Macaca mulatta: one gene and its partner. The protein of the gene in region 2 interacts with the protein of the main gene of each other region in a biochemical or structural test. Links are inferred from orthologs where the notes say so. Each region holds a gene or a part of one and is shown on either strand. Other genes may lie near its edges.

What was found.
Region 1: the proteins of SELP (region 2) and CD24 form a complex in vitro, tested with the Homo sapiens proteins (2 studies listed by BioGRID and IntAct). The link is inferred for Macaca mulatta from reciprocal best matches to the Homo sapiens genes SELP and CD24.

The regions. Positions count from the first base shown.
Region 1 is NC_133409.1:78,783,384-78,799,632, reverse strand, and holds CD24 (signal transducer CD24), read right to left. Parts: upstream 9,866-16,249; 5' UTR 9,783-9,865; coding exon 9,714-9,782; intron 6,975-9,713; coding exon 6,807-6,974; 3' UTR 4,978-6,806; downstream 1-4,977.
Region 2 is NC_133406.1:27,128,392-27,144,653, forward strand, and holds the start of SELP (P-selectin), read right to left. Parts: upstream 7,363-16,262; 5' UTR 7,227-7,362; coding exon 7,224-7,226; intron 1-7,223. UniProt on the Homo sapiens protein: Ca(2+)-dependent receptor for myeloid cells that binds to carbohydrates on neutrophils and monocytes. Mediates the interaction of activated endothelial cells or platelets with leukocytes. The ligand recognized is sialyl-Lewis X.

The DNA of each region.
Region 1 (16,249 bases), on a different chromosome or scaffold from region 2:
GTGCCATCCTACCAAAATTAGAAAAAAAATACTCTTTTATACTGAGGAATCCAAAGATAACCAAGCCAACCCCAAATGAGGCCTATGAGACATGAAAAACACATACTTTTCAGTTAACTAAATATTTGAGTTCTATTTTAAGGACAGTGGTGGCATTGGGTGTGTGTCTTTACAATGTTTCATTCTAAATAGATTTTGTTCATCTTCCCTTTATGGATAATACTTCAACTAGATTTTTGTTTCTACATTGTTTGCTTTTATCTTCTAAGGCTAAAATGTGTTGAAGAGACACTCATACAATGGATACTCATTACTTAATTTAGCCATAAATCATATGACTAGTATTTAAGTGTGAATATTATTAAAACTATAACCTCAGAATGGAATTCTGATAAATAAAATAACCCAAATGAGTTTAAAACCATTTTCAAAGACAAGTGGAAAAAAAGTTATTAATTTTCTCCTCTGTGAGGACTGATCATTATTTTGTTTGTTTTAAGACGGAGTTTCACTCTTATGGTTCAGGCTGGAGTGCAATGGTGCCATCTCGGCTCACTGCAACCTCTGCCTCCTGGGTTCAAGTGATTCTCCTGTCTCAGCCTCCCTAGTAGCTGCGATTACAGGCACCCACTACCATGCCCAACTAATTTTTGTATTTTTAGTAGAGATGGGGTTTCATCATATTGGCCAGGCTGGTCTCAAACTCCTAACCTCAGGTGATCCACCCACCTCAGCCTCACAAAGTGCTGGGATTACAGGCATGAACCAGCCCACCCTGCCGACCATTACTTTGTAAGATATTCACCCAAATTTTTTGTTGCTTATATGATAATGATCCAGCATTGGCATGATGGTGACTTTTAGGATTTCAAAGCAAAGCCTTGCCAATTATCTGTAGACAACGCCTTTTCTTGGAGAAACAGTTTCTGGCTTGCTACTGTGCTTTAGTGAGATGACTCCTTAACCATGGGCTACCATGGGACCTGAGCTGCCCATCATGATCTGGTGGGTTAGACAAAATGATGTCTAACCCACCAGACCATAAAGTTGGGTGTGCACAGCGGCACTCATTGTCAAATGAAAGTGATATATACAAGACTGGCTCAAGTAGGCCCTAAAGACAAGAGTAAATTATATGAGGAAGGGGGCCAGATGCCCATGGTCCCTACTCCTGCTATATGACCTTCTCTCTCCCAGTCTGTACCTCTTTCCTCATGGAGAGTTCCTTATGATCAGTTGATTGGAGAAAGACAAAACTTGAGTCTGATTTATAGAAAAAATTTGGGTCTGCTTTGTAGAAAGTACTGCACAATACACAGGATCTACCTAAAAGTGAAGAGCTGCAGCTCTACAAACCCCTCAAGGACATCCCTGAAGGACAGTGGTGAAGAGAAATACCCCTAGTGGACAGAATTACAAGCAGTGCACTTGGTTGTTCATTTTGCTTGAAAGGAGAAATGGCCAGAGATAGGAATCTGGCATTCAGGCTATGACTCATGAGTTGGCTGAATGGAAGTGGAAGAGACATAACTGGAAAGTCTGTAACAAGAAGATATAGGGAAGAGATGCAAGGATAGAGGTATATAGGCAAACAATGTGAAGATATTTGTGTCTCATGTGAATGCTCGTTAAAGTGTGAGCTCAGTAGAGGATTTTAATAATCAAAGGGATCGGAGGACTCATTCTGTGGATATCAATCAACCTCTTTCTCCAGCCATTCTTGTCATTGTCCAGTGGGCTCATGGTGGCAGAAGCCCAGCAGCGTAGACTTCCATTCACCACAGTCAACCTGGCTACAACCACTGGGGAGTGCCCAACCTGCTGTTGCAGAGACCAACACCGAGTCTCCTCTGTGGCACCACTGCCCAGGGTAATCAGCCAGCTGTGTGGTGGAAGGTTGATTACATTGGACTTCTTCCATCATGGAAGGGGCAGCATTTGTTCTTAGTAAAATAGACACTTATTCAGAATATGAATTTGCCTTTCTTGCATACAGTGCCTCTGCCAAAACTACCATTTGTGGACTTATAGAATGGTTGTCACCATCATGGTAATCCACACAGCACTGCTTCTGACCAGAGAACTCACTTCATAGCCGATGACATGTGGCGATGGGCCCATGGTGATGGAATGTACTGATCTTAGCATAGTGTGTCCCTCATAAAGCCACTGATGTGACGGAACAGAGGAATGGCATTTTGGAAACAAGTTACAGGACCAACTACATGGCAATACCTTGCAGGACTGGGGCAGTGTCCTCCAGGAAGCTATATGTGGTCTAAATATGGTGCTGTTTCTCCCATAGCCAGGTTTGCAGGCCCAAGAATCAAGGAGTGGAAATTTAGTGACACCACTCACCATTACCCCTAGTGATTCACTAGCAAAATTGTCACTACTTTAACCTCTACTGGTCTAGAGGTTGTAGCTCCAATGGAAGAATGCTTGCAATCTGGAAACACAGCAATGATCCCACTGAACTGGAAGTTAAGACTGCCATCCAATCACTTTGGGCTCCTCAAGCCTCTGCATCAAAAGGCAAAGAAAGGCCGGGCAAGGTGGCTGACGCCTGTAGTCCCAGCACTTTGGGAGGCCGAGGCGGGTGGATCACCTGAGGTTGGGAGTTCAAGACCAGCCCAATCAACATAGAGAAACCCCGTCTCTACTAAAAATACAAAATTAGCCTGGCATGGTGGCACATGCCTGTAATCCCAGCTACTCATGAGGCTGAGGCAGGAGAATGGCTTGAACTCTGTAGGCGGAGGTTGCAGTGAGCCGAGATTGCACCATTGCACTCCAGCCTGGGCAACAAGAGTGAAACTCCGTTTCAAAAAAAAAAAAAAAAGGCAAAGAAGGGAGTTACTGTACTATTGAAGTGATTAATTCTGATTACCATGGGGAAATTGGGTTGCTACTATACAGTAGAAGTTAAGGAAAAGTATGTTTGAAATACAGATGCTTTAGGGCATCTCTTAGTACTACTATGTCCTGTCACTAAAGTCAGTGGGAGGCCGGGCACAGTGGCTCACGCCTGTAATCCTAGCACTTTGGGAGGCTGAGGCACGGAGATTACTTGAAGTCAGGAGTTTGAGACCAGCCTGGCCTACATGGTAAAACCCTGTCTCTTAGCTGAGCATGGTGGTGTGTGCCTGTAGTCCCAGCTACTTGGGAGGCTGAGGCACGAGAATTGCTTTAACCCAAAAAGTGGAGGTTGCAGTGAGCTGAGATCATGCCACTTCACTCCAGCCTGGGCGACAAAGCAAGACTCTGTCTCCAAAAATAAAATAAAATACAATCAATGGGAAACCACAATAAAATTCAAGCAAAGATTTGGTTCACCTTGCCAGGCTTAGAAGCATGACCAGCTGAGATGTTTACTGACAGCCAAGTTAATACGGAATTGATAATGGAAGAAGGTAACTGCAAAACCAGCTACAGCCACATGACCCATTGTAGAAATGAGAATTATAATAGTTGTATTTCTTCCTCATGTTTGTGTGTGTGTGTATATATAGGTACACATAGATGATTGATAGATAGATAGATAGATAGATAGATAGATAGATAGATAGATAGATACCTAGATCATCAAAGGGGGTCTTATTCCATCAATTGAAAGACCCTAAAAGCAGAACTGAAGTTCGTTGAAGAAAGTGTACTTGCAAGACCAGGCGCGGTGACTCATGTCTGTAATTCCAGCACTTTGGGAGGCCAAGGCAGGTGGATCACCTGAGGTCGGGAGTTCGAGACCAGCCTGACCAATATGGAGAAACCCCATCTCTACTAAAACTACAAAATTAGTCAGATGTGGTGGCGCGTGCCTGTAATCCCAGCTACTCGGGAGGCTGAGGCAGGAGAATCACTTGATCCCAGGAGGCAGAGGTTGCAGTGAGCCAAGATGGTGCCATTGCACTCCAACCTGGGCAACAAAAGCGAAACTCTGTTTCAAAAAAAAAGGAAAGGAAAGGAGAGGAGAAGAGAGGAAAGGGGAGGGGAGGGGAGGGGAGGGGAGGGGAGGGGACGGGAGAGGAGGGGAGGGGAGGGGAAAGAAAGGGAAAGAAAGAAGGAAAGAAGGGAGGGAAGGAGGGAGGAAAGAAGAAAGGAAACTTGTAGACTACAACTTCCACATACTCCCAAGTTCCAGCCTGCCTTTCCAGGTTGTCCCTCAGTCACCTCGGAACACACTTGAAGGGCCTCAGAGGAACTCAGGGGCGTGAAAGGAGCATACGGAAGTGACAATTTAGATGACCAAAGAGGGCCAAGCATGGTGGCTTGTAATCCCAGCACTTCGGGAGGCCTATGATCCCAGTACTTTGGGAGGCCAACGCAGGAGGATCACTTGAGCCCAGAAGTCCAAGACCAGCCTGGACAACATAGTAAGACCTATCTCATAAATTAGACAGACAGATGATAGATAGGTACGTAGGTGGGTAGGTAGGTAGGTAGGTAGGTAGGTAGGTAGGTAGGTAGATAACCAAAAGGATCTGTGGACCTATAGATAGGGGAAAAATTGCTGCAGGCTCGTGGACTTGGCACATGCTGTTCCTTCTACCAGGGAATTTTCCTCAGATCCTCCTACAATTGTCTTGTCATTTGGATCTCAGTTTAAATGTCCAAGATCACACCACTGCACTCCAGCCTGGGCGACACAGTAAAACTCTGTCTCAAAAAAAAAAAAAAAGGAAAGAAAGAGAAAGAAAAATACTGAGGTATATCCCTATGGTTTAAATTAACAGACTTGGGGCCTGGAGTGGTGGCTCATGCCTGTAATCCCAACACTTTGGGAGGACAAGGCAGGAAGATCACTAGAGCCCAGGAGTTCGCGACCAGCCTGGACAACATGGTGAAACCCTGTCTCTCAAAAAAAAAAAAAAAAAAATCCCCAAAATTTGTTAATTATTTTTAAAAATTTTAACAGGCTCATAGAACCATGATTACCCACAAAGTATTCCTCATACTGGAAAAACTTAAAATGCAAGATTGCTCTTTCAGCCATTTCTTTCTTTTTATTTACAGTTTGTGTTCAATGCAAATCAATTCCATAACATAAGAATTTACTATGAATCAAAGCATAAATACACAAACACAATATACAATCCAAAAGAGATGTACAGCATTCTGGAATAAAGCAGAAGAGTGTTCATTCACACACACAGTAGCTTCAGATGTGTTCAATCTGTTTGTTTCCATGTAGTTTTCTAAAGATGGAAAAAAATGACTTTGGTCATCAAGACTACTGTGGCCATATTAGATTCCTGGAACATCTAAGCATCAGTGTGTGACCATGCGAACAAAAGACTTCGGGGAGTGTCTATTTTTAAAAAGGTTTCTGTGTGTCGAGGCAATTGTAAAATATTTACTGCAGAATCAAGCCCACTTTTAGGCTTAGGACCAGGTTCTAACTATCTAAAAATATTGACTGATAACAAAAAGTGTTCCAAATGTGGCTATTCTGATCCATAACTGTTTAAAGAAAAAAAAGTATATACAGAAAGAGTATAAAAGTTTTTGTGAATTTAATGCAAATTAGCTTCCAGTCTTCACTTCCCAAATACTTGATTTACGGTTTTGATTCCTTTACATTTTTGCCTTTTTAATTTCAAGATTTGCAATTTTGCCTTCAAAACAGATCATTTTTTTAAATTGTAAAAAGTATTCAACATATGCAGATATAAAAAGCATTTTGACAGCTCGGCACGGGGCTCAAGCCTATAATCCCAGCACTTTGGGAGACCAAGCCAGGCGGATCACCTGAGGTCAGGAGTTCGAAACCAGCCTGGGCAACATGGTGAAACCCTTTCTCCAGTAAAATTACAAAAATTAGCCGGGCATGGTGGTAGGTGCCTGTAATCCCAGCTACTTGGGAGGCTGAGGCAGGAGAATCGTTTGAGCCCAGGAGGCAGAGGGTGCACTGAGCTGAGATCGCGCCACTGCACTCCAGCCTGGGCGACAAAGTGAGACTCCATCTAAAAAATAATAATAATAATAAAAAGTATTTTGAAATTAATTGCGGTCACTGGAATTCTACTCTTTGGAATCTGTTTAGCTAAATGAATGTAGTGCTCTTGTTGAATGGAAATAGGTGATAGGAAATGCCTACCATTTGACTCTTTATGGATAATCAAGAGTTGCTCAGAATGCTTGGACCTGGGGGTAGATTCTCATTCATCATTGCCCTGGCACATGTCAATTACTATGTAAAAAGTCAAATGCAATGTCAAATCCAAAGCCTCAAGAGGAAAGTGAGTTCAGTTCCCAAGAGAACAGCGATAGCTCAACAATGTAAAACTTCATCTAGAGTATATCAGCATTAAATTAGTGCTGTCGAAACAATACATTGAGGAATTACAGTAACACCTGGAAGTTCCTTCTAATGTACATATAAATAGAATCATGGAAGCTTTTTATATTACCTGTTTTATGACCTTATAGAATTAATGAACCAAATGAAAACTGAATCTCCATTCCACAATCACATCCTTTATTACTATTCTTATTTTCAAGGTAGGATTAAGTGTCCATATTTCTTAAACCACATTCAAAGAAATCATGTCTTAAGCTATTTTGGATGTTGCCTCTCCATCTTGTACATGAAACACCAGCAGATTTAACATTGGCATCTATCATCTAGTCAAACCTCTCACATGTTCTTCAAGCAGATCAAATTTGGGATTCTCAACATTTTCTGCGTCAATAAAAGGTGTGGAATTAGTAGATTCAATGAAGACCTGTTTTTCCTTGCCAAGACGCCATTTGGATTGGGTTTAGAAGATGGGGAAGTTTAGAAGATGTTTCTTGGCCTGAGTCTCTTAACAGTAGAGATGTAGAAGAGAGAGTGAGACCACGAAGAGACTGGCTGTTGACTGCAGGGCACCACCAACGGCCTTGGTGGTGGTATTAGCTGGATTTGGGGTAGTCGAAGTATTCTGGGAGGAGTTACTTGAAAGTGGTGCAGAAGTCGTTACAGTGGAATAAATCTAAAATACATAAAAAGTTACATGGATAAATTTCCACATCACAGCTACCTCCGCATACTCTAATATAAAATTAAAGTAGGTGATATATTCTTAGATTGCTCTCTTACCATTGTTCTCTTACCCAACATCATTAAATTGTAAATTCTTGCTCAGCCCACCAAGGTCATTCTCTTTAGTTTCAAAGCAAACTACCTAGAGATGCCTCAAAAATGCCAAGTGGCAACAAGAACAAAAAAGTTATTCAATAACTATAACTCCTGTTTTTATTTCTTTGCAAAGGAAAAAAGGACCAAGTTAACTAATTCGGTTTCCGAGATTATATTGACTTAATGGCATTGCAATAAGGTCTATTTTCGCAGAAAGGGAGAGATTTTAAAGTTGCACAAAAAAATGGGGATTTTTAAATATTGTAACTGAGACTTACGGAACTAGAATTAATTGGGTCTGTGTCTATCCTGGATTTGCTAGGTAACTTTCACATACTCATTTAATACAGCCTTGGAAACTTAGCCTTTTCCTTAAGGGGGGAACTGCAGTCTTATCTTCTCCCTTGAAATTTGAAATAATTCTTCTAAAAAATGGCCACAATATTTGTGTTAAATTGAAAGAGAAAATGAGTCTTTCCTTTAAGGCAGAATGACTTCAAGAAAACACCATGAGGTCGGAACGATTTCACAAAAGACAGCGAGAGGGTATGGTGTTAAGTTTCACCAGCAGCAGCCTCACTGGTCACTAAGCTCAGTGCTGTGGCCAAGAACCAAGGTTCTCCCAGTGTCCCAGCGTCTGAGTGGCATCATTCACCACTGATTTTTCAAGCCACGAAATGCACAGTCCAGTAGGGCACGTGATAATCTCTCCTTTGTCATGGAACAAAGGCAGATCGGAGTTTTCAGCCCTCACTGCAAGGGAGGGTTTACAAGGGCTTCTGATTACAGGCGGGAGGGAGGACGTGGCACCAGGCAAGAGTCTGGGCCCCATGTACATTTGGCTGCCTATTAATCCAAAGATAAAGCCCTCCTACATCAGCACCAGCTCCTTTTGTTGTAAATCCATAAAGTCATTAAACAAATATTGACTAAAGAAATGTACAAATTCTATCCAAAATAGATTAGTGACAACAACAAAAAAATCTGTATCAAGTCCAATTTATTTATTGGGCACCTACTGTGTGCAAGATTTAGTGTGTCCCATCAGGAAACGGCACTCCCAATAAAGAAAAGCATTAATATGGTAATTTACTTAAAACAGGGTGCCTGTTTTGGACACCTTGTTTGGGATCCCTGAAAGTAACCTGTTCTTTATTCATACAATTAGTTTTAGTGCTGCAGGTGATATTTTCTTTTTAAAACCCGGTGTATCAATCTGAGGATCTAAAGATCCTCTACACCAACAAAAATTTATTAAACGGACACTAAACAAAATTTTCTCTCCGAAGCTAGATTTATTCGCATTATTAAAACTTCTCACTTACAATGTTGGAGGAAAAAATCTGGTCGGAGAGAAGATGGGGCGGGGAGTAGAGGGGGCCGGTTTCTCGCGGCCGCGCCCCTCCCCCATCAAAGAATTGAGGAGGGCTCGGGAGCGCAGCGGACTGGGAGGAAGACAATAGGGTACGGTTACCCGGCCCGCGGTGGGGAAGAGCGCTGCACATTTTCAGGCTGCACTCCCACGTGAGCCCAGACGTTCGATGTCTGGGGACGGAGGGCCCAGCGCGCCCAACTTTTGGGGGAGAAGCCCCAGAGACAGTCCTCTATTAACCCCAACCGAAGGCGCTGGAGAGCCCTCACTCCCATCCCCCAAACCCGAACTCCCCCGGACAAACGTACCTTCTTAGCCCCCGCCCCCGCTAGGGTCTCCCAGGCCCAGCCCCCGGTCTCCCTCGCCTGCACCGTGCATCCATCCACCCACGAGGCAGCGCTGCGCGGTCCCCGGTACCCGCACCCGAGGCGAGATTCCCCGGATAGAGGGTCTAGGGAGAAGGCGCTGGTAGCGGCGACCCGGACAAAGCCTGGCGGGGACTCGGGACAGAATCGTCCCACCATGCCGCCTCCCCAGAACTAGCCAATCTGGGCTAAAATAACATGGGGATCCTAAGATGACAAGCAATGGACGTGAAAGATTGCCTCGCAGAGAACGCGGCGTCAGGAGAGGGTCCCCACCTCGGCTCCAGCGCCGAACCTCCCGGGATTGGGATTTAAAAAGAGCCGGATAGCCGTAGCTTCTCCGGGATCCCCAGTCCAACTCCGAGGGTGGAGGATGGGCGTGAGCCGCCCTCCCCGAAAGGGACGGTCGCCTGTCTTTGTGTAGAGCTCGGGGAGCGCGAAGACACTCGTAGGGGGAAGCGGGTCCTCAGGGGACCCAGGGACGACGTCGCCCGGGAGCCTGAGCTCTCCAGGCGCTAATCCCTGCGGGCACCTCGGGCCTCTGGGTGAAAGTGGGAAGCAGGCACCTGGCCGCCTGGGAAGGGACAGCGTGGAACCTGGGGTGGGGCTGAGTCCTCTCAGCCCGCGCGCGGAGCTGCATTGTTCCCAGGGCCGTGGGAGGGGAGGGGGCAGCACGCAAGGGAGTGGAAAAATGGGGTCCACATGGCCCTCTCCCCTGGTCAGCTAAGCAAGATTCTCTCCCAGTCCCTGTCCGTGGCCCGAAGTATGGGCGCAGGACGGCCCCCGGGACCTGGTCCATCTCCCCCGCCCCCACCCCGGGCACGGCCCTGAGCCCCGCCGGGCGCCAGGGCCTCACCTGCGTGGGTAGGAGCAGTGCCAGCAGCAGCAGCCCCAGCCCGAGTCTGGCCACCATTGCTCTGCCCATGTCCCCTCCGTCGGTGCGCTGCGCGTCTCGCTGGATGCCGGGTACCTGAGGAACCTCTGGCTCCGGGCGGGCGCAGGAAAGGTGGGGAGCGCGGCGAGCCGGCGGGACCTTATATACCAGGACAGCCACAATAGCCGTGACGTGGCGCCGCCCGCCCACCCCGGCTCCCCTCCGCCGCCGCCCGCCGCCTCCCAGCCTTCCCCGCCCTGCTCTGGGCTCCCCAGCGCCCCCTCCCCCGCCGCCGCCACCGCCACCGCCGCCGCGGGTCCGGCCCGCGAGGGAGCTCCCCGGGCGGGCGCCGCCGCAGGTGGGCGGGCGCCGCCGGCTGCTGTTACCCGGCTGGTTTCCCCGCGCCGGCTGCGGGCAGCGGGCAGGCTGGCACAGGCGCCCAGCGACTCCACACAGGACCCGGGGCACACATGCGAGCCACACACGCCGCGCTGGGGGCCGGGCCCAAGTTTCCTTTGTTTCCCGGGACCTGCCATCTTACCCCCCAAAAGAAAAGTCCGCCCGTCCGCCGCGGCTGGGCAGCAGCTGGTCCTGGAGCAAGTGCATTGCCACCCAGACTGCAAAATGTGCCCCGGAGACCCGAGAGGGGCTGCGAATTCCAGTGCGACCCGCGTGGGGGGCGGGCGCCGGGGCTCCTCGGGCGGGGTTATCTCTCGGCCCGCCGCAGAGGAAAGGGGAACGCAGCGGGCGTGGCGGGGACGCGGGCCGGACACTCACCCTGGCAGACTGGACCCGGGCGCCGCCTAGCGCTAACCCTTCCCTGCTGGTCGGCGCGGCTCGCAGGCGGTGCCCGGGTCCGGAGCGATCTGCGCGCTCGGCCCCGCGGCCGCGCCCTCCCCGAAGCCCTTGCTTTGTTTTGTGAGCGCCTCGTGTCAGGCAGGCGCAGCGAGCTCACGGGGGCGTCCCGGGTCCGCATCCTCCCCGGAGCTGGGGAGCCTCTCGCTGGGCGCGGACCCGCTGCCGGACGCTGCAAACTACAGGGTTTCGGTCCCCCCCGCTCCTGCCTGCGGCGGGCGAGGAGGAGACGGCCCACCCTGAGGGGATCCCCTCCGCGGTCCTGAAGCCCCCACCGCCCACCCCGAGCGGCTCTGCTCCCTGGTTCTACTCAGGGGGCAGGAGCCTCCCCTCCTGGCGGTACCACTACAATTCACCGTCCTTCTCGAATTCCTGGGGATACACTTTTTCGGTCTCTGTTGCCCGTCATTCGTTTAAAGAGCAAAACCGTTCGGGTTAAAGGCATTTACTTATCCGTAGTTGCCATTAGGCAATTTAATGAACTGGCACAAAGAGGAGATTCGTCATCACTCTTTAGATTTTGGTGGAATACCTTTTTCCTATCCATCTTGTGAAAACTTTCAAGTACACAATAAAAGTTGAAGTAATTTTACTGGTGGAGTATTTTGAGTTTAAATTTTAATTGCAAGACCTAATCTTTTTATTGAAGGTTTAGCCCAAGTGTTTTTCAATCTTTAAAGCAAACAGCAGAGACCAAACCTAGTATGGTTGAAAATTTGTTTAAATTTCACTGTTGCAGAACACTCTCGTTAGTATTTTTGGTTCAATTTTTAATTGCAAGACTTGATCTTTTTATTTAAGGTTTAGCCCAAGCATTTTTCAGTCTTTAAAGCAAACCACAGAGTAGGAAGATTCTAAATTTGTTTAAATTTCACTTTTTCAGAACAGTCTCATTAAAACAAAGTAAGTTTCAGGGAAGCAAAGCGACAATGAAATCTGCAATGGGTCTGTTGACTGAATAGTGACCGAATCGGTTTGTGCCTTGAAGGTCAGTCACTTGCTCAGTAACTTTCCAAGCACGTTTAAGATGTGCTTGGGAACACAAGAATTTCTGTCGAGCACAAGTGGACTTTCCTGTTTAACAGTGTACCACATTGTATAGAAATACTTTGGCCGGGCGTGGTGGCTCACGCCTGTAATTCCAGCAGTTTAGGAGGCTGAGGCTGGCGGATCACCTGAGGTCAGGAGTTCGAGACAAACCTGACCAACATGGTGAAACCCTGTCTCTACTAAAAATACAAAATTAGCCATGCGTGGTTGCTCATACCTTGTAATCCCAGCTACTTGGGAGGCTGAGGCAGGAGAATAGCTTGAACCTGAGAGGTGGAGGTTGCAGTGAGCAGAGATCAGGCCATTGCACTCCAGCCTGGGCAACAAGAGCAAAACTCTGAATGAATGAAAGAGAGAGAGAGAGAGGAAGGGAGGGAGGGAAGGAAGGAGGGAGGGGAGGAAAGGAAGAAAAAGAAAAGGAAGAAAGAAAGAATAAATACTCTGGTCCAGCTTCTCCATTCCTTTTCCGGGTGAAAATATGGACTGTTTGTGACTCAGGAGTGCCGGGTTCCAAGGCAGGGAGCATAGTATGTCCTCCACAAGCTGCTTGTTGAACTAACTGGTGGTATTCCTAGAATAAGACAGCCTCTAAAGACAGACTGCCAGAGTTCAAGCCGTGGCTCTGCTAATTTTGCTGGAGACAAAAAGCCTCAGTTCCTTCATCTATAAAATGGAGATAATAACATCATTAGTAATTAGTTATTAAAGAGTTATTGTATATGTAAATATTAGAATACTGCCTGCCTCAGAGTAGTAGCTCTCACTTAATATTTACTCTTCCACTGAAGGTGCCAGGAACCAGAAGGTAATTACCTTCTCTGCCTCTGTGTAATACGTGAAAGAATATCAGTCTCCAAATAATTCCCAAAACTGGCAAGGCACTTGGGATCTGTGCTTTGTGAACCATTTCATCACCAGCTAATGAGACTGGATAATTCACAGAGCAAAGCCCTTCACCTCTGCCCAGGAGCTCCCCCTGGGCATCCTACTGGAGGTGTTGCCCAGGTCTTTGACAACTGGAGGCCCAACCCAGGTAAGAATCTTCTCTACAGGTCTCCACCCTACCCTGTTTCCTGTACAGCTAGAAACTCAAGAAAACTGCCTGATTTTTCCTTTGCAGTTCTTTTGGTTTATAATTCTTTCTTCCTATTATTCATCCGCTTCTCCTGGTTTTTCGTAGTTTTTTTGCTAATAAAAACTGAGTCATGGCTGGGCGCGGTGGCTCACACCTATAATCCCAGCACTTTGGGAGGCCGAGGTGGGCAGATCACACGGTCAGGAGATCGAGACCATCCTAGCTAACATGACGAAACCCTGTCTCTACTAAAAATACAAAAAATTAGCTGGGCATGGTGGCACACACCTGTAGTCCCAGTTACTCAGGAGGCAGAGAGGTAGGAGAATCGCTTGAACCCAGGAGGCGGAGGTTGCAGTGAGCCGAGATTGCGCCACTGTACTCCAGCCTGGGCAACAGAGAGAGACTCTGTCTCAAAAAAAAAACTTAAGGCCGGGCGCGATGGCTCAAGCCTGTAATCCCAGCACTTTGGGAGGCCGAGACGGGCGGATCACGAGGTCAGGAGATCGAGACCATCCTGGCTAACATGGTGAAACGCCGTCTCTACTAAAACATACAAAAAACTAGCCGGGCGAGGTGGCGGGTGCCTGTAGTCCCAGCTACGCAGGAGGCTGAGCCAGGAGAATGGCGTGAACCTGGGAGGCGGAGCTTGCAGTGAGCTGAGATCCGGCCACTGCACTCTAGCCTGGGTGACAAAGCAAGACTCCGTCTCAAAAAAAAAAAAAAAAAAACTTAGCCAGTAATAACTCATGCCGCTAAACCAAATCGAGACTCTTACCAGTTATCCTGAACTTTTCATTGAGACACATGGCCAATTTCCATTTTGTAGAGAAAGTGTGGCATAGAATGATTTTGAAACAGATTGATTGCATAAATTGATGTATGTGTGGAAAGTTTTAACTTTCAGTTTTCATAGCTTTCATGAGATAGTATGAAAAACTCCCTCATCTGATGCTGGTTCTCTTCTGAGGAATACTGAGGGAGGAGCAATGCTTACAATTTCTTTTTCTTTTTCTTTTTTTTGGAGACAAAGTCTCGCTCTTGTTTCCCAGGCTGGAGTGCAGTGGCACAAACTTGGCTCACTGCAGCCTCTGTCTCCTGGGTTCAAGCGATTCTCCTGCCTCAGCCTCCCGAGTAGCTGGGATTACAGGCACCTCCCACCACGCCTGGCTAATTTTTGTATTTTTTTAGTAGAGACGGAGTTTCACCATGTTGGCCAGGCTGGTCTTGAACTTCTGGCCTCAGGTGATCCGCCTGCCTCAGCCTCCCAAAGTGCTGGGATTACATGCGTGAGCCACCGTGCCTGGACGATGCCTACAATTTCTATGTGCAGACCTCAGACCAGACTGGCACAGCACATGGTAGATTCTCGGGTCAGACCTGGATTTGAATCCTGCACCACCACTTTCTCTTTTTTTTTTTTAGACAGGGTCTCACTCCGTTACCCAGGATGGAGTACAGTGGCTCACTGCAACCTTCACCTCCCTGGTTCAAGCCATTCTCCTGCCTTAGCCTCCCAAGAGGCTATGTCTTGTCTACCCAATACCCACTGCACCTGGCATGCAATCAGTATTTGCTGGTTGAATGGACTAATATTAAGGAAACAGGTTCATTTGCTTTTTAAGATAAAATAATAAATCCTGTTTCTAGAGGAACAGAAGACGCAGGGGTTAACTAGTTGACATTTTTAGCACTTTTTGGCAAAATAGGTATGAAATATAATGTGAATCCAATAAAGGTGTTCCTTCTGTGCTTTATAGCACAAATAGGGGCTGGAATAACCAAATATTTAATTTAAATTCTGTTCTACAACATGATGCTATTCTTAGTTGTGTTCATAATATCCTTTTTTTTTTTTTTTTTTTTTGAGATGGAGTCTCGCTCTGTCGCCCAGGCTGTAGTGCAGTGGTGTGATCTGGGCTCACTGCAACCTTTGCCTTCCGAGTTCAAGTGATTCTCCTGCCTCAGCCTCCTGAGTAGCTGGGACTACAGGCGCACGCCACCACACCCAGCTAATTTTTGTATCTTTAGTAGAGGGAGTTCCACCATGTTGGTCAGGCTGGTCTGGAACGCCTGACTTCGTGATCTGCCCGCCTCGGCCTCCCAAAGTGCTGGAATTTGGGCGTGAACCACTGCACCCAGCCCTCTTACTCCCTCTTAATTCTGTGCCACCCTGCACTTGGTTGGCACTGAATATTTCCATTTATCCTGGTCTTTTAGTCGAGCTTTGTGCTTCACTGCCAACCATGAGAAGGCAGTAAAGGTAACAAAGTGAGTTTGCATTTCTGACTGATGAGGTCCTAGGTCCAGTAGCTGCAGCATGTTGAATCAGCTGGTGGCGTCCCAGCCGGACTCTCTGTGTGTACGTGCTGCCCCCTGCTGGCCACTGGGACCCTACGGGCTCACTGTCAGGAAGACAAAAACAACTCTTGTGCCGAATGTAAAAAGCCCTGCATTTTGGAATCCTTATAAAGCTAATAAACCACGATGATTTTCTTTGACTATTAGTTCCTTTTTCCTCCTGTAGAGTCACTCAAATTATCTTAAGCCTCATTGAGACCAGAAAACCAGTGTAAAGACAAAGAATTGTGACTGTATTCAGATGCAAATTGAATAATAGGATGCTTAGAGGTAAGCATCAAATTCTTACATTTCAAACACTGTGGTGTTTGAAATAAAATAAAGAAGCAACTCTTAATCTCTTTTTTTTTTTTTTTTTTTTTTTTTTTTTGAGACGGAGTCTGGCTCTGTCGCCCGGGCTGGAGTGCAGTGGCCGGATCTCAGCTCACTGCAAGCTCTGCCACCCGGGTTTACGCCATTCTCCTGCCTCAGCCTCCCGAGTAGCTGGGACTACAGGCGCCCGCCGCCTCGCCCGGCTAGTTTTTTGTATTTTTTAGTAGAGACGGGGTTTCACCGTGTTCGCCAGGATGGTCTCGATCTCCTGACCTAGTGATCCGCCCGTCTCGGCCTCCCAAAGTGCTGGGATTACAGGCTTGAGCCACCGCGCCCGGCCAACTCTTAATCTCTTTGGTCAGAATTTAAATTCGGTGTCTCCCTTGTGTTGGCAAGGATGTAAGAAAAATCTTTCTCATCGATGCTGATGGGATTATGGAAAGGAATTTCACATATCTCAGTATTAAAAATGCACATTCTTCTTATTTTAAGGATTTAACCTGGCCGAGCACAGTGGCTTACGCCTGTAATCCTAGCACTTTGGGAGGGCAAGGCGGGCAGATCACCTGAGGTCAGGAGTTCAAGACCAGCCTGGCCAACATGGTGAAACCCTGTCTCTACTAAAAATTCAAAAATTAGCCAGGCATGGTGGCAGATGCCTGTAATCCCAGCTACTTGGGAGACTGAGACAGGAGAATTGCTTGAACCCAAGAGGCAGAGGTTGCAGTGGGCCAAGATCGTGCCACTGCACTCCAGCCTGGGTGACAGAGATGAGACTCCATCTCAAAAAAAAAAAAAAAAAAAAAAGAATTTAACCTACAGATAAACTTCTACAAATGCAGAATAACGTATGTTCAGGGATTTG
Region 2 (16,262 bases):
TGTACTAAAAGTAGCTGTCATGCTAACTCAATAGAATAGAAAAACATTTTAACACATAGAGACTTATGGTTGTAGAAAATTAAAATTTTATATTATATTTTTATTTTGCAAAGAAGTACAATAATCAAGAAAATACTTTAAGCTTAAAATGTGTTGTCTTAGGCTAAATAATGTAGAAGTGGGATAGAAATAAGTATTCAAGGAGAGAAAAATGAATAACATAAAATTTCTTATTACTAAGAGTCTGCTTGTGGTCTTTTAAGTGATGAGGATTGCAGATCACGCTAGTACTTTATTCCATTGGATAAACTTTAAGAAATTATGTAACAATTTTATTTTTAAAGTCTAATTTTTGTAATACATTGGAAAATCCAATCTTCTTTTGCTTTTAAAATTTGGGATAAAAAATTGTAGCTTTCCACTTAGAAAGGTGTAAGAGGTAACGTAGTGCTCCAGGATATTTTTGGAGGTATAGGAGCAAAAATATTGCTGCTGAAGAGCACAACTCTGCAGGCTTCATGAAGGGACCTAAGTGCTTGTCTCTGAACCTGGGCTCTGCCTCTACTCAGGCAGATTGCAGGACGAGTGCAACGATTTTAAATTTAGTGGTAATCTTCCTGTGGAAGTGGTTTTCTCCCTGAACAGAGTATTTCTAGGGATTTCCCTGGCTTTGGGGCCAGCTCACAAGAGTGTGTGGGGCGAGGGAGTCGGCGAGTCTCCTAGTCTCCCATCACAGTGGTCAACTCTACCCACTGTTTCCTGTTTTGGCTTGTTTGTTTAAACTTTTAAATAAGATGTGGTTTAAACAAAGTTTCCAAAAAGAGATGTTTCCCATTTAACCTGTTTGTTCGTTTGTTTACACTTTTTTTAAGCAAAATTTCGTCAGCAAATTCTGTACCACACGAGACAAAACAGAAAGTGAGAGAGAGCGAGAGAACTTGTTTTAAATATTTTAAAATTTTAGAGGACTGGTACAGTGCTTCCGATAAGGGCACAACATCTAAGAAAGGAAAATGCAAGTCAGTGTGCATCCCCTGCTTTAATCTGACATAGTTTTCTGTTTCCTTGCATCACCAAATATCAAGATTCACCTCTTATGGTCTCTTGTGGGAGACCATAAAGGTCACTTTCAAGCTAACTTAGCACTTATCTGCTGTTCTGCAGTAAGTCTTCAGATCATGAATGCCTAAGATGGGGCGGCCACCGCTCCCCACCGCTGAGACTCAATGAGTGTAAATGATTTGCCCAAGCTTGCTCACCTGAATGTACATAGGGTTAACACAGTAATTCTTATTCTTCCAGGGCTTGTGCATTTTCAAAATCTGATAAAAGCCATGGTCAGACTTCTTCAAAACATATGCATACTTGCAGTATTTTAGACAATCTCAGATGGTTCATGACCTACTAAATCTGTCCATGTATAATGGGGCCCGAGTTCAAGATTCTGTGTTAACTGTAAGGCAACTGACAAGGATTTTGTGTGCAGGTGTGGAGAATGGATGATGTTTAAAAATCTTCTTCGAGTAACAATCTTCCTCTGAAACCTGCTTGGGGTGGGCAGGCCTTCTCACACCTGCTCCTACTCTGCATTATAGTCTTCAGGATGCTGCTCTGTCCTGTGTCACTAAGCAAGTTAAGTACGAAAACAAGAGGAAATTCCTCTCTAGAAGCATCCATATGCTCTGCTAGTCTTTGATGTGCTCTGGAAGCCTGGTTCAACTGGAAGTTGCTGGAAAGGAGTCAGAGACTCGGTCATTAGAATAACATCCTGTGCCTCTGTAAGCCTTCATTAAGCACCATGATTATCTTTAATTTTACTTTAATAAAGAACTAGGCTGGGTGGGGTGGCTCGGGCCTGTAATCCCAGCACTTTAGGAGGCCAAGGTGGGCAGATTGCTTGAGGTCAGGAGTTCGAGAACAGCCTGGCAACGTGGTAAAACCTCGTCTCCACTGAAAATACAAAAATTAGTTGGACATAGTGGCGCATGTCCGTAGTCCCAGCTACTTGGGAGGCTGAGGCAAGAGAATCGCTCGAACCCATAAGGCGGAGGTGGCAGTGAGCCAAGACACTCCAGCCTTGGCGACAGAGTGAGACTCTTTCTCAAAAAACAAAACAAACAAAAAAAACTAATAATGATTGCAGGGTAAAGAAAGAAGCAGAGAGAAAGTGGAATAAGCAAATGCCTTGACCTAACTTTTCATAGAAGGAGGTACCAGAGGCTAGTAGGTGTCCCATGGCTTGCCACGTTCCAGGTGGCTTACAAAGTTGGCAGGAATAGTGCCACAGAAACGAGATCCTGTTCTCTTTGTCTACATTGTAGACCACAGTTTTGTGCTTTTAAGAAGGCAGAATCAAACAATGTCCGTCCCTTGACCCTTTGTTCTCCTGCCCATATCAGCCCAATTTCTGTCCTTCCTCTATAGCTAAACTTTCTTAACTTGCTTGCCTCCCCTTTACTTTCCAGCCCACTGCCCCATCATCCTAGCAAAGTGTTCCTGCAAACTTCATTGCTGACATCCTCATTACCAAACCAAATGAAGACTTTCCACCCTTATCTTCCTTGACCTTTCTGTAGCAATAAATACCACTACTTCCTTTTGCCTAAAATGCTTCCCTTAGCTCTTCTGTTGTTCTTCTGCTCTAATGTTTGAGAAACTTTTCTGAGTCTTCTGAATCTACCTCAATCCTCTGCCTTCCCTTGCAGAGGTAAGGGTTTCTCTAGGTTCCCACTTCCATGGCCCTATTCTCTTCTCATTCTTCTGCTTTACTGGAAAGTAAAGATGACCTCCTTATGGTCATCTGTTTCCAATGTCCTCTAATCAGCATCTCCATTTCTGAATATTCTCTTGAGCAGGAGGTCCACAATTTAAATGCACGACAAACATGTGAGTATACAACTGAGGAAGCTACTGACAGAGGCTTCTCAAGGGCAAGGACTATTACTCACTCAGGTCTGAATCCCCAGCCATGGTATGGCACATACTTAATGCTTAATAAACATTTTATGGATAAATGAATGAATGAATAATGGCAGAGGAATGACTGAAAGTAAGATAAAAATATGCTAAATAGAAAAATGTTGGAAAAATACATAATAATTATAACTGAGTGTATTACTTTTACATTAGTGATAATATCTAAGTGAACAAATAAAATGGTGAAGACGGACAGAATTCCAGTCCTCATAGAATGCACATTCTATTGGTAGATATGACAATGAAACAAATACTAATAACTACGCAATAGTACTAAGCAAGTAAACATGAAAAATATTAATAGAATATAGCCATAAGCGCTAGGTAGGAAATGAAACTTATGTGATAGAATGACTGTGTCACTATGTTGGTCAGGAACGTCAGGGAAGACCTCTTTAATGAGATAATGTTTAAGTGGAGAGAAGAATGACAAGAAACCAGTCAGTGAGAAGCAGGAAGAAGAGCATTAAAGGAAGAAGAAAAAGCTATTTCAAAGGCCTTAAGGTGGAAGCAAACTGCAGTGTGTTCAAAGAACATGAAGACATTAGTGTGGCCAGAATGGAATGAGCAATGGAGAGAAAAATATGAGATGGGGGTAGTGACAGATCACATCAGGCTTTGGGATCCAAAACAAGCAGATGAGATTTTATTCTAAGGGCAACGATAAGCCAAGGGAGGTTGGGCAGGGTGGCTCACACCTGTAATCCTAACACTTGGTGAGGCCAAGGCAGGCAGATCACTTGAGTTCAGGAGTTTAAGACCAGCCTTACCAACATGGAGAAACCCCATCTCCACTAAAAACACAAAAATTAGCCGGGCATGGTGGCACATGCCTGTAATCCCAGCTACTCAGGAGGCTGAGACAGGAGAATCACTTGAACCTAGGAGACAGAGGTTGCAGTGAGCTGAGATGGCGCTACTGCACTCCAGCCTGCTGAAGATTGGGAGGTCCTCGAGTTTAATTGAAAATGTAGTTTGAAACCAGATCTTGTGGGTCACAAATACCAGTTGGCAGAAGGGATCTAATTGCAGGGTTCTGAACAGAGAAGTATCATGAACACATGCACTTAATGGTGGTATGATTTTTTTCGGGGGGCTGGGGGATAGGGTCTTGCTCTGTTGCCCAGGATAACATGCAGTGGCATGATCTGGGTTCACTGAAACCTCCACCTCCCAGGCTCAAGTGATCTTCCCAGCTCAGCCTCCTGAGTAACTGGGACTACAGGCATGTACCACCGCACTCAGCTAATTTTTTTGTAGAGATAAGTTCTCACTATATTGCCCAGACTGGCCTGGAGCTCCTGGGCTCAAGCAAAACTCTTTTGTTGGCCTCCAAAAATGCTGAGATTATAGGGGTGAGAGTGGTGCGATCTTTTTTTTTTTTTTTTTTTTTCTCTTCAATGAGTTAGAATCAGGGAGATTGCACTGCAAAAGAAGAGGCTATTGCAATGGTCCAGTGAGAGTTAAAGAGGGACTGGTTTGGTCTGGCATCAGTGGGAATGCAAATGGGGGAGGTGAATATGAGAGTCATGGAGGATGCAGAACTATACAACTTGTTGGTAGCAAAGCCCAGATGTTACAAGCTATTACAGCTAATACATTAGTTCCCTTATGTTTCTGGATGATGGTTGTGGTAGTGGTGTGGCACAGATATGAGTAGCCCAGCTTAGGGGTGGAAAAAGAAATACAGTGAGAAAAGAGGTTGTCTCTAAGCCAAAGAGCAAATTATGAATATAGACAGGAAGGGACCTAGGACATCAACATTTAGAATCCAAGCATATACTTAATTTAGACTACTAATTGCCATTATTTTGAGTAAACTATTAGCATTAAAAATAAAGTACCATACTTAAATTTTTAAAAAAGTCATTGGATCGGAGATGAGTTATATCTCTACAAATAGTAAGGATTTGCTCTGCATTTGACTTCATAAAGTTTCAGGTTTACTTTTCAATCAGAGAGATTAGACACCTTGAAGACAATATAACGAATGTCATTTATAAAACCACTGTGTACCTACTCTCTAGGGTTAGATCCAGGGTTTTTTCTAAGCACAGCTTTTTATGTAGTAAGTCATTTTGATTTTTGAGGATTTGATTAATAAGCTTCTACTTAAAGATCTCTGAAGATGCACATTCTAAGAGCTGGTGGCCAGCCCAGGAGAGTCTGAACTATTTTAGTTGCATTTTGAAAAACAGGTAATGAAAAGAAGAGTAAGGACTAGAAGCCACATAGCTAAGGTGGTTAAAAGGTATAAATGGAAAATAATCCAGACCTGCTCCTTAGCCCACTAAAACTTTTTGTTTTGTTTTGTTTTGTTTTGTTTTGGAGACGAGTCTTGCTCTGTCACCCAGGCTGGAGTGCAGTGGCATGATCTCGGCTCACTGCCACCTCCACCTCCTGGGTTCAAGAGATTGTTCTGCCTCAGCCTCCTGAGTAGCTGGGATTACAGGCGCATGCCAACATGCCCAGCTAATTTTTGTATGTTTAGTAAAGATGGTGTTTCACCCTGTTGGCCAGGCTGCTCTTGAACTCCCGACTTCAAGTGACCCATGCACCTCAGCCTCCCAAAGTGCTGGGATTACGGGCATGAGCCACTGCGCCCAGCCGTAGCCTGCTAAAAGTTTGACAAACATCAATGCAATTTAACTATAAGTTCCCAGTCAAGAGTTACTCCTCTGAGATCTATCTGATTGAAAACACCCCACCAGAAAAACCTTATCCTCATTTTCTCAGGTCCTAAAAGTTAATTAAAGCCACTCTCTGAACTGGAAGCAAAACTTACAGAGGGGCTTCTGAACACAAAGCACAGGAGGCAATCGAGAAAGGTTCTGATCGTGGGATCCACACGGAGGTCTGGGAACCTCCTGTGGTTGTCTCTGAAGGTTGGTGTTTATGTGGATGTTTTTGCTTTCATCTGAGAAAGACAAGTTGTAACTTTCATCAAAATCTCAAAGAACTCTATGATCCAATAATTATGTTCATACCTTTGAAATACAGAAGGATACCAAGGAGAGTAGAAGGGAGGAAGAACTGCTCATTTAAGTTAACCAATTCAGAAGTATGACATGCAAAAAGATAAGACAAAAGTAACTCATATCCTCATGTCATTGTGGTTCAAACTTAGGACAGGCTCAAACTCCTTCCTCTTCTCTTTATCATACTCTCATTCCTGTTTTCCCCAACACGGAACCCCACATTATAAGTAGTTGAAAAGTGTGCTATAGTAAAGCAAAGAAGTGGGATGAATCAGATGTATGCGGTACTTTTTTCTGGAGTCCCACAGAACGGTGCTCAAAAACAGAGAGCTGCCTGTTTCCTCCACAGCCACAGACTGCAGGATTTCAGACCCTGGGACTACGTGGGATACTCTTGGAAAGTCTGGGGAAAATTAGAAGTAGCCTAACCATGTGCATTTTATCTAGGTGCATATAACATTGCTGAGTTCAAAATGCCTAGCTATCCTTGGATCTTTCCTGAATCCTAAACCCCACCATTCCTAAGATTGTTCTTTTTCTTCTAACAATAATGGCTAACATTTACTAACACTTACTATGTGTCAGGCTCAGATCTGGATGCTTTTCAGCAAAATCTTATTTAATCCTCATGATAAAACTATAGAGTATTATTACTATATCCATTTTATAGAAGAAGAAACTGAGTCATTAACAAGATTGAGACTTAGGGCAGAAATGGAAACTATGTGTATATTCCAGATCAGTCCCAGAAGATTCATAGGCTCACAGAAAGAAATGGGAGGGATGGGGATGAGAAACTCTTCCATTGTAAGCTTGTCCCAGGGCAGTTGCCCAGTCTTCCATTTATTTCATCATTTATCCCAGACAGAAGTGCAGTCTTGGAAAATGGGGTGACAGGTTTACCATGATCTACTCTCAGAGAGCCCCTGTAGATTCCAGTAGGAGGAACAGCAGCTGCAGAGCCAGAGGACAGGACCCAGATCCCAACATCATGTAGCCTAACAGTGCAGCTTAGATAAAACAAAGCCTCTGTAAGCCACAATGACTTCATTTGTAAAATAGAAATAGCAACCTCAACTCACAAAGATGTTGGGAGGGTCAAAGTGGACAGCAAGTTTAAAAGCACTCACAAAATCTAATAGGCAATTCAACATAAAACTCCATGGCTATCGCTGTTCCTCACTTTCTGAAACTTTACCTGCCTGACTTAGTCCCAAACCACTCCAACTCACTTCAACCACTTCCCATGCAGAAAAAAAATAAACTCACCATCTCCTCTGCGACTCTGCTGGTTTTCTGCCTTCCGCCCAACCTGGACTTCTTATAATCTCACTGCCTCCCCTCAGTGTCAGGCTGTTTAGAAAAACAACTTCCTATTCACATTCCAGAAACTCACCACAGCCCTTCCCATGAAGTTAGAATGTTGATAATGCGAGGGTGATGTTGGCAGCTTAGAAACAGTGGTTGCCAAGAGGCAAAGGGGTCACCCCCTTCCATGGGAGATGGTCTGGAGACAGGGCAAGGTGAATCATTCCTGCGCTGAGCAACGTGGTAACAGTACATACACAAAGGTTTCCTTTGATTATGATATAAGCCCCAATTTAAAGTCGTACATTTGGAAAATATGCTTTGAATTAATCATAATGTGATTTTCCAGTGCCCATTTTCCAGTTGTCGTGAAATGTCAGTGAATGTTTACTATTCCAGCAGCCTTCTGAGGGAAAGGAGCAAAAATAGTAGCACAATAAAAATTAGAGAGAAAAGGAAAAAGCCACTAACGGTTTTCTGGCACTTAGGGAAGTTTACTGGTAAGTTTCAAAATGACGTATTAAATAGACATAGGTCACATGAAAGAAATTCTGCTTCTTATAGCAGAAATAAAAAGGTATACAAATAGATACCTTTTTATTTTCCTCTTCCCATGGAATATGTAGGACCAAAAAGCTGTTGGCATAGTAGTTAAGACTTGAGCTATGCTGTTAAACAGCCTGAGACCCATCCTGGCTCTGCCTCTGGCTATCCACTGGGCAAATTACTTAAACTCTCTATGCCTCTGTTTCCTCAACTGTAAAATAGAATAACAAAATTTGTCTCACCGGGTTGTTGTAGAATCAAATGAGTTAATATGTAGAGAGTGATTGAAATGACACCTGGCCCACAATTGACGCTCAACAAATGTTAGCGATTATTACTACTTTTCAGATTAGATCTCAGACAGCAAAATCAAGTATCAGGTATTTAGTATCAAGTCAGAAAGCCATAACTCCTATTTATACTCTCAGAATTCTATTGTGTAGTAGTAGGTATTATTCTTCATTCACTTCATGATGGTTACAGCTTGTAAATAGGCATCTCATGGATAAATTTAAAATGGAATGAAGTAGAAACATTGGAAGAAAGTCTAAAGGTAAAGATGAATTAGGGCATGTGAGGCTGCATTTGCACTTTGGAATTTGGTACCAAGAAGAAGAAATTAATTATATAGTAGAAGTAGAAAAGATTGTGAAGGAGATGCTGTTGAAGGAATGACTGTAGGGGAATAAGGGAAGCTTAGAGAGATGAAAAACTGAGGAACTTCTTGGCAGCATGATGCAGTTCAGAGTCTAGACCCCAGAGTCAGACTGCCTAGCTCCACCACCTACCAGCTGTGTTGGGCGTTACTCATCTCCGTATGACTCAGTTTCCTCAGTGATGTGGTTTTGCTGTGTCCCCACCCAAATCTCATCTTGAATTGTAGCTCCCATAATTTCCACAGGTTGTGGGAGGGACCTGGTAGGAGATAATGGAATCATGGGGGTGGTTCCCTCATACTGTTCTCATGGTAATGAATAAGTCTCATGAGATCTGATGGTTTTATAAGGGGAAACCCCTTTTGTTTGGTTCTCATTTCTCTCTCTTCCCTGCTGTCATGTAAGACGTATCTTTTGCTTTCTGCCATGATTGTGAGGCCTCCCCAGCCATGTGGAACTGTGAGTCCATTAAAGCTCTTTTTTTAAAATAAATTACCCAGTCTTGGGTATGTCTTTATCAGCAGCATGAGAACAGACTAATACACTCAGCAATGTGAATAATAAGGTTAATAATCACCAAACACATAGACGTGTAAGGACAATTAAATGAATTTAAAGTGTTTGGAACAATACTTAGCATGCTGTAAGTGTAAGTTTAAGTGTTGGCTATTATTCTACAAGACTTGCCTCCATGTCTTTCTGTTCTTACTTTCATTCACCAGCCCCTCTTTTTGGCATTGCCTCATGTTAAAAAATATATATATATATATATATATATTATATATATATAGTGTATATATATATTTTATATATATTATATATATAATATATATAATATATATATAATATATATACTATATATATTATATATAATATATAATAATATATATACTATATATAATAATATATATAATAATATATAATAATATATATAATATATATAATATATAATATATATAAATATATATATAAATATATATATATATATATAGTCTCAGATGGAGATGAGGAAGGGTGGTATGTAGACTAGTAGGTTCTCTTTTTTTTTTTTTAATTTTTTTCAGACAGGGTCTCACTCTGTGTCCTTAGGCTGAAGTGCAGTGGCATGATAACTGCTTTCTGCAGCCTTGACCTCCTGGGCTCAAGCAGTTCTCCCACCTCAGCCTCCTGAGTAGCTGGGACTACAGATGTGTACCATCACTCCTGGCTAATTAAAAAAAAAATCTCTAGAGATAGGGTCTCACTATATTTCCCAGGCTGGTCTTGAATTCCTGGGCTCAAGTGATCCTTTCACCTCAGCCTCCCAAAATGTTGGAATTACAGGCATGCGCCCCCATGCCCAACCTGATAGGTTCTTGTTGATAATAAGTTTCATATTAATAAGTGCAACTGGTAATATGTTTTTAAGTTGATGTTGTTAAATTTTAGTGAATATAAAAAAAACATAAAAAGATTCCTATGGAGGTGACATTAGCAAGATAGTGGAGTAGCAGATGTCAGCCTTATGCCCCAAGAAAAAACAAATATAGACAGCTATACACAAATCAAAATAGCCCTCAAGAGGGTGGGGAGTTGCAGGGTGGGGCTCAAGAGCCTGTTAAAGAATTTGGAACAACAAAATGGAGAAAAGAAAACAATATCCATGTAGAAGAATCACTAGTGAGACTGGCCTATATGAGACACCAGGAGATATCTAGGAATAAAGAAAGTTGTAGGCTATCAGTGTCAGTCACGTGGTAAGAGCCACTGTGGCCCCCAGTGTCCTGCTCCACAGAGGACACTGGCATCTTTTGTCACTAAGGTAACCAACAGCCATCCCCACAGCAGGATGCTAGAAAGGGAGACACAGTTGCACCACCCCCCAAACCCCCTCACCAAGAAGCAGCTATTGTACTGCCCCAGGACTGGGGCCAGGGTTGCCACCTCTTGCAACTCTATGTGTTTCCCTGATCCCCAAAAGTTGTGGCTGCTCTGCAGGTATTCACACTCCGGACTGTGGCTCTGTGGCTGCAGTGCACCTACTCATGTCTCAGACACTGGAGTCATTGCTGTTGTGAACTAGATCTCACTGTGGGACCCCAAACCAAGTTCTCTCTGTGAAAGTCTTTGCTCCGGACACCAGTTCAGCCACTGTAGAAAGCTAACCCCTATTCTTGACTCCAGAGCTACTGTAGTAATGTGCACGCCTGTGCTCCAGACCCTGGCTCTGAGGCTGCGCTACACACAACCACACCTCCAACACCAGAGCCACCATTACAGTGAGCTAGTACACACCCTGGGTCCCAGTCCCAGAATCAAGGTTTCTCTGTGCCTGTCCATGCTCCAGTCACCAGCTCAGCCAACAAGGAGAGCTAACCCACACCCGGGATCCTGGAGCCACTGTAGCTCTGCATATACGTGCAGTAAAGTCCCTTGCTCCTCAGCTGCTTTATATGTACCTGCACTTTACACACTATTGTCAATGTGATAGTAAGTATGCCTGTGCCTTGGGCACTGGTGCCATTGCTACCATTGAATCTGGTGCTGTGGTCCCTCCATGCATGCCCATGCTTCAGGCCTTGACTCTTGACCACTCCATGGGCACTATTCATCAGACACCAGTGCCACCACCACCATAAGCAGGCCTGCAAGTTAGACCTAGTTCCAAGAGGAATTTCTTCAGTCACAACTTCCCAGGTGGGGAAAAAAAGAGATACGGAGGACTTGTCACCACTGAAAACCTCAACAGCCTCCTTGCCACTATAGATACCCACAGTGTTGGCTTCTAAGGATCCCTGTAGTCTTCACCGACACCAACCTCAGCTGACAGATCTGCATGGAGACCACACAGCTTTGCCCCCACTGAAGTTAGAACTTTTGCATCCCACCCAGCCAGCATCCTTGCATTATCCTACATAAGATGGTATTTATCCACCAAAGTCAGCCCATACAGCCTGAAATTGCGGCAGATCCACCAGATGCTCAAACATCAGTGTAAGGCAGCAAGAAACATGAAAACCCAAATTAAAATATCACCACCTAAGAAACACAATAATTTCCCAGTAGCTGACCCAAAAGAAATGGAGTACTACAAATGGCCTGACAAGGGATTCAAAATAATTGCTTTTAAAGAAGCTCAGTGACTTTGATGCAGACACAGAGAAACAATTTGGTGAAATCAGAGAAACAATAAATGGACAGCATAAGAAATATAACAGAAAGATTAAAATGATAAAAAAAAGTTGGAGCTGAAAAATATAATGAATGAAGTGAGAAATGCAGTAGAAGTCATCAATAGCAGACTTGATCAAGCAGAAGACAGAATCTGTGAACTGAAGACAGGTTTTTGAAAATATACAGTGAGAGGAGAAAAAAAGAATGAAAAGAAATGATGAAAGCCTATAGGATTTATGGGACAGCATAAAGAGAGCTAACATTCAGCCAGGCACAGTGGCTCATGCCTATAATTCCAGCACTTCGGGAGGCCAAGGTGGGTGGATCACCTAAGGTCAGGAGTCGACACCAGCCTGACAAACATAGGTGAAACCCCATCTCTACTAAAAATACAAAAAAATTAGCCAGGGATAGTGGCACATGTCTGTAATCCCAGCTACTGGGGAAGCTGAGGCAGCAGAATCTCTTGAACCCAGGAGGCAGAGGTTTCAGTGAGCTGAGATCATGCCACTGAACTCTAGCCTGGGTGACAGAGTGAGACTCCATCTCAAAAAATAAAAATGGAAATTAAACTAAAAATTAAAAAACAGAGAGCTAACATTCACATTACAGTAGTTTAAGAAGGAGAAAATAGAGAAAAAGGAGGTCAGAAAGCATATTTAAAGATTTCTAGATGAAAATTTCCCAAATCTGAAATAAAATATAAATATTCAGGTACAGGAAGCTTAAAAATCTCCAGTCAGGTTCAATCCAGAAAAGATCACACCAAGACATAATAATCAAACTATCAAAAATCAAAGACAAAGACAAGATCCTAAAATCAGCAAGAGAAAAGAAGCATATCACAGGCAAGAACTGCAATAAGGTTATCACAAGATTTCTCAGCAGAATCCTTCTAGGCCCAGAGACAGTGAGATGATATATTCAAAATGTTGAAAGAGAAAAAACTGCCAACCAAGAGTTCCATCCTTCAGAAATAAAGGAGAGATAGAGACTTTCCCAAACAAATAAAAGCTGAAGGAGTTCATCAACACCAGACCTGCCTTATAAGAAATGTTAAAGGGAATTTTTCAAGCTGAAAGAAAGGGATGTTAATTAGTAACATGAAAATCTATGAAAGTATAAAAGTCACAGGTAAAAATAAAAACATAGTGAAATTCAGAATTTTCCAATATTATAATGGTGGTGTATAAATCACTTATACCTTTGGAATGAAGATTAAAAGACAAAACTATTCAAAATAATTATAACTACAATAAGTTGTTAACAGATACACAATATAAAAGATGTGAATTATAACATCAAAAACATAAAATCTGAAAAATATTAAAAACCTATAAAATGTGGAGGGAGAGTAAAAGTGTGGAGGTTTTTTTATCATTGAAGTTAAATTTTATCAGCTTAATATAGCCTGTTATAACTATTATATGTTTTATCTTTTTTTTTCACATTTCATCATTTTCTTTATTTCTTTTTTTTTTATTTTATTTATTTATTATTATTATTATACTTTAAGTTGTAGGGTACATGTGCATAACGTGCAGGTTTGTTACATATGTATACTTGTGCCATGTTGGTGTGCTGCACCCATCAACTCATCAGCACCCATCAACTCGTCATTTACATCAGGTATAACTCCCAGTGCAATCCTTCCACCCTCCCCCCTCCCCAGATAGGCCCCGGTGTGTGATGTTCCCCTTCCCGAGTCCAAGTGATCTCATTGTTCAGTTCCCACCTATGAGTGAGAACATGTGGTGTTTGGTTTTCTGTTCTTGTGATAGTTTGCTAAGAATGATGGTTTCCAGCTGTATCCATGTCCCTACAAAGGACACAAACTCATCTTTTTTATGGCTGCATAGTATTCCATGGTGTATATGTGCCACATTTTCTTAATCCAGTCTGTCACTGATGGACATTTGGGTTGATTCCAAGTCTTTGCTATTGTGAATAGTGCCGCAATAAACATATGTGTGCATGTGTCTTTATAGCAGCATGATTTATAATCCTTTGGGTATATACCCAGTAATGGGATGGTTGGGTCATATGGTACTTCTAGTTCTAGATCCTTGAGGAATCACCATACTGTTTTCCATAATGGTTGAACTAGTTTACAATCCCACCAACAGTGTAAAAGTGTTCCTATTTCTCCACATCCTCTCCAGCACCTGTTGTTTCCTGACTTTTTAATGATCGCCATTCTAACTGGTGTGAGATGGTATCTCATTGTGGTTTTGATTTGCATTTCTCTGATGGCCAGTGATGACGATCATTTTTTCATATGTCTGTTGGCTGTATGCATGTCTTCTTTTGACAAATGTCTGTTCATATCCTTTGCCCGCTTTTTGATGGGGTTGTTTGTTTTTTTCTTGTAAATTTGTTTGAGTTCTTTGTAGGTTCTGGATATTAGCCCTTTGTCAGATGAGTAAATTGCAAAAATTTTCTCCCATTCTGTAGGTTGTCTGTTCACTCTGATGGTAGTTTCTTTTGCTGTGCAGAAGCTCTTTAGTTTAATGAGATCCCATTTGTCAATTTTGGCTTTTGCTGCCGTTGCTTTTGGTGTTGTAGACATGAAGTCCTTGCCCATGCCTATGTCCTGAATGGTACTACCTAGGTTTTCTTCTAGGGTTTTTATGGTTTTAGGTCTAACATTTAAGTCTCTAATCCATCTTGAATTAATTTTCGTATAAGGAGTAAGGAAAGGATCTAGTTTCAGCTTTCTACTTATGGCAAGCCAATTTTCCCAGCACCATTTACTAAATAGGGAATCCTTTCGCCATTTCTTGTTTCTCTCAGGTTTGTCAAAGATCAGAAGGCTGTAGATGTGTGGTATTATTTCTGAGGACTCTGTTCTGTTCCATTGGTCTATATCTCTGTTTTGGTACCACTACCATACTGTTTTGGTTACTGTAGCCTTGTAGTATAGTTTGAAGTCAGGTAGTGTGATGCCTCCAGCTTTGTTCTTTTGACTTAGGATTGTCTTGGCAATGCAGGCTCTTTTTTGGTTCCATATGAACTTTAAAGCAGTTTTTTCCAATTCTGTGAAGAAACTCATTGGTAGCTTGATGGGGATGGCGTTGAATCTATAAATAACCTTGGGCAGTATGGCCATTTTCACGATATTGATTCTTCCTATCCATGAGCATGGTATGTTCTTCCATTTGTTTGTGTCCTCTTTTATTTCACTGAGCAGTGGTTTGTAGTTCTCCTTGAAGAGGTCCTTTACATCCCTTGTAAGTTGGATTCCTAGGTATTTTATTCTCTTTGAAGCAATTGTGAATGGAAGTTCATTCCTGATTTGGCTCTCTGTTTGTCTGTTACTGGTGTATAAGAATGCTTGTGATTTTTGCACATTAATTTTGTATCCTGAGACTTTGCTGAAGTTGCTTATCAGCTTAAGGAGATTTTGGGCTGAGACAATGGGGTTTTCTAAATATACAATCATGTCATGTGCAAAGAGGGACAATTTGACTTCTTCTTTTCCTAACTGAATACCCTTGATTTCTTTCTCTTGCCTGATTGCCCTAGCCAGAACTTCCAACACTATGTTGAATAGGAGTGGTGAGAGAGGGCATCCCTGTCTTGTGCCAGTTTTCAAAGGGAATTTTTCCAGTTTTTGTCCATTCAGTATGATATTGGCTGTGGGTTTGTCATAAGTAGCTCTTATTATTTTGAGGTACGTTCCATCAATACTGAATTTATTGATTGTTTTTAGCATGAAGGGCTGTTGAATTTTGTCAAAAGCCTTTTCTGCATCTATTGAGATAATCATGTGGTTCTTGTCTTTGGTTCTGTTTATATACTGGATTACATTTATTGATTTGCGAATGTTGAACCAGCCTTGCATCCCAGGGATGAAGCCCACTTGATCATGGTGGATAAGCTTTTTGATGTGCTGCTGAATCTGGTTTGCCAGTATTTTATTGAGGATTTTTGCATCGATGTTCATCAGGGATATTGGTCTAAAATTCTCTTTTTTTGTTGTGTCTCTGCCAGGCTTTGGTATCAGGATGATGTTGGCCTCATAAAATGAGTTAGGGAGGATTCCCTCTTTTTCTATTGATTGAAATAGTTTCAGAAGGAATGGTACCAGCTCTTCCTTGTACCTCTGGTAGAATTCAGCTGTGAATCCATCTGGTCCTGGACTTTTTTTGGTTGGTAGGCTATTAATTATTGCCTCAATTTCAGAGCCTGCTATTGGTCTATTCAGGGATTCAACTTCTTCCTGGTTTAGTCTTGGAAGAGTGTAAGTGTCCAGGAAATTATCCATTTCTTCTAGATTTTCTAGTTTATTTGCATAGAGGTGTTTATAGCATTCTCTGATGGTAGTTTGTATTTCTGTGGGGTTGGTGGTGATATCCCGTTTATCATTTTTTACCGCATCTATTTGATTCTTCTCTCTTTTCTTCTTTATTAGTCTTGCTAGCAGCCTATCAATTTTGTTGATCTTTTCAAAAAACCAACTCCTGGATTCATTGATTTTTTGGAGGGTTTTTTGTGTCTCTATCTCCTTCAGTTCTGCTCTGATCTTAGTTATTTCTTGCCTTCTGCTAGCTTTTGAATGTGTTTGCTCGTGCTTCTCTAGTTCTTTTAATTGTGATGTTAGAGTGTCAATTTTAGATCTTTCCAGCTTTCTCTTGTGGGCATT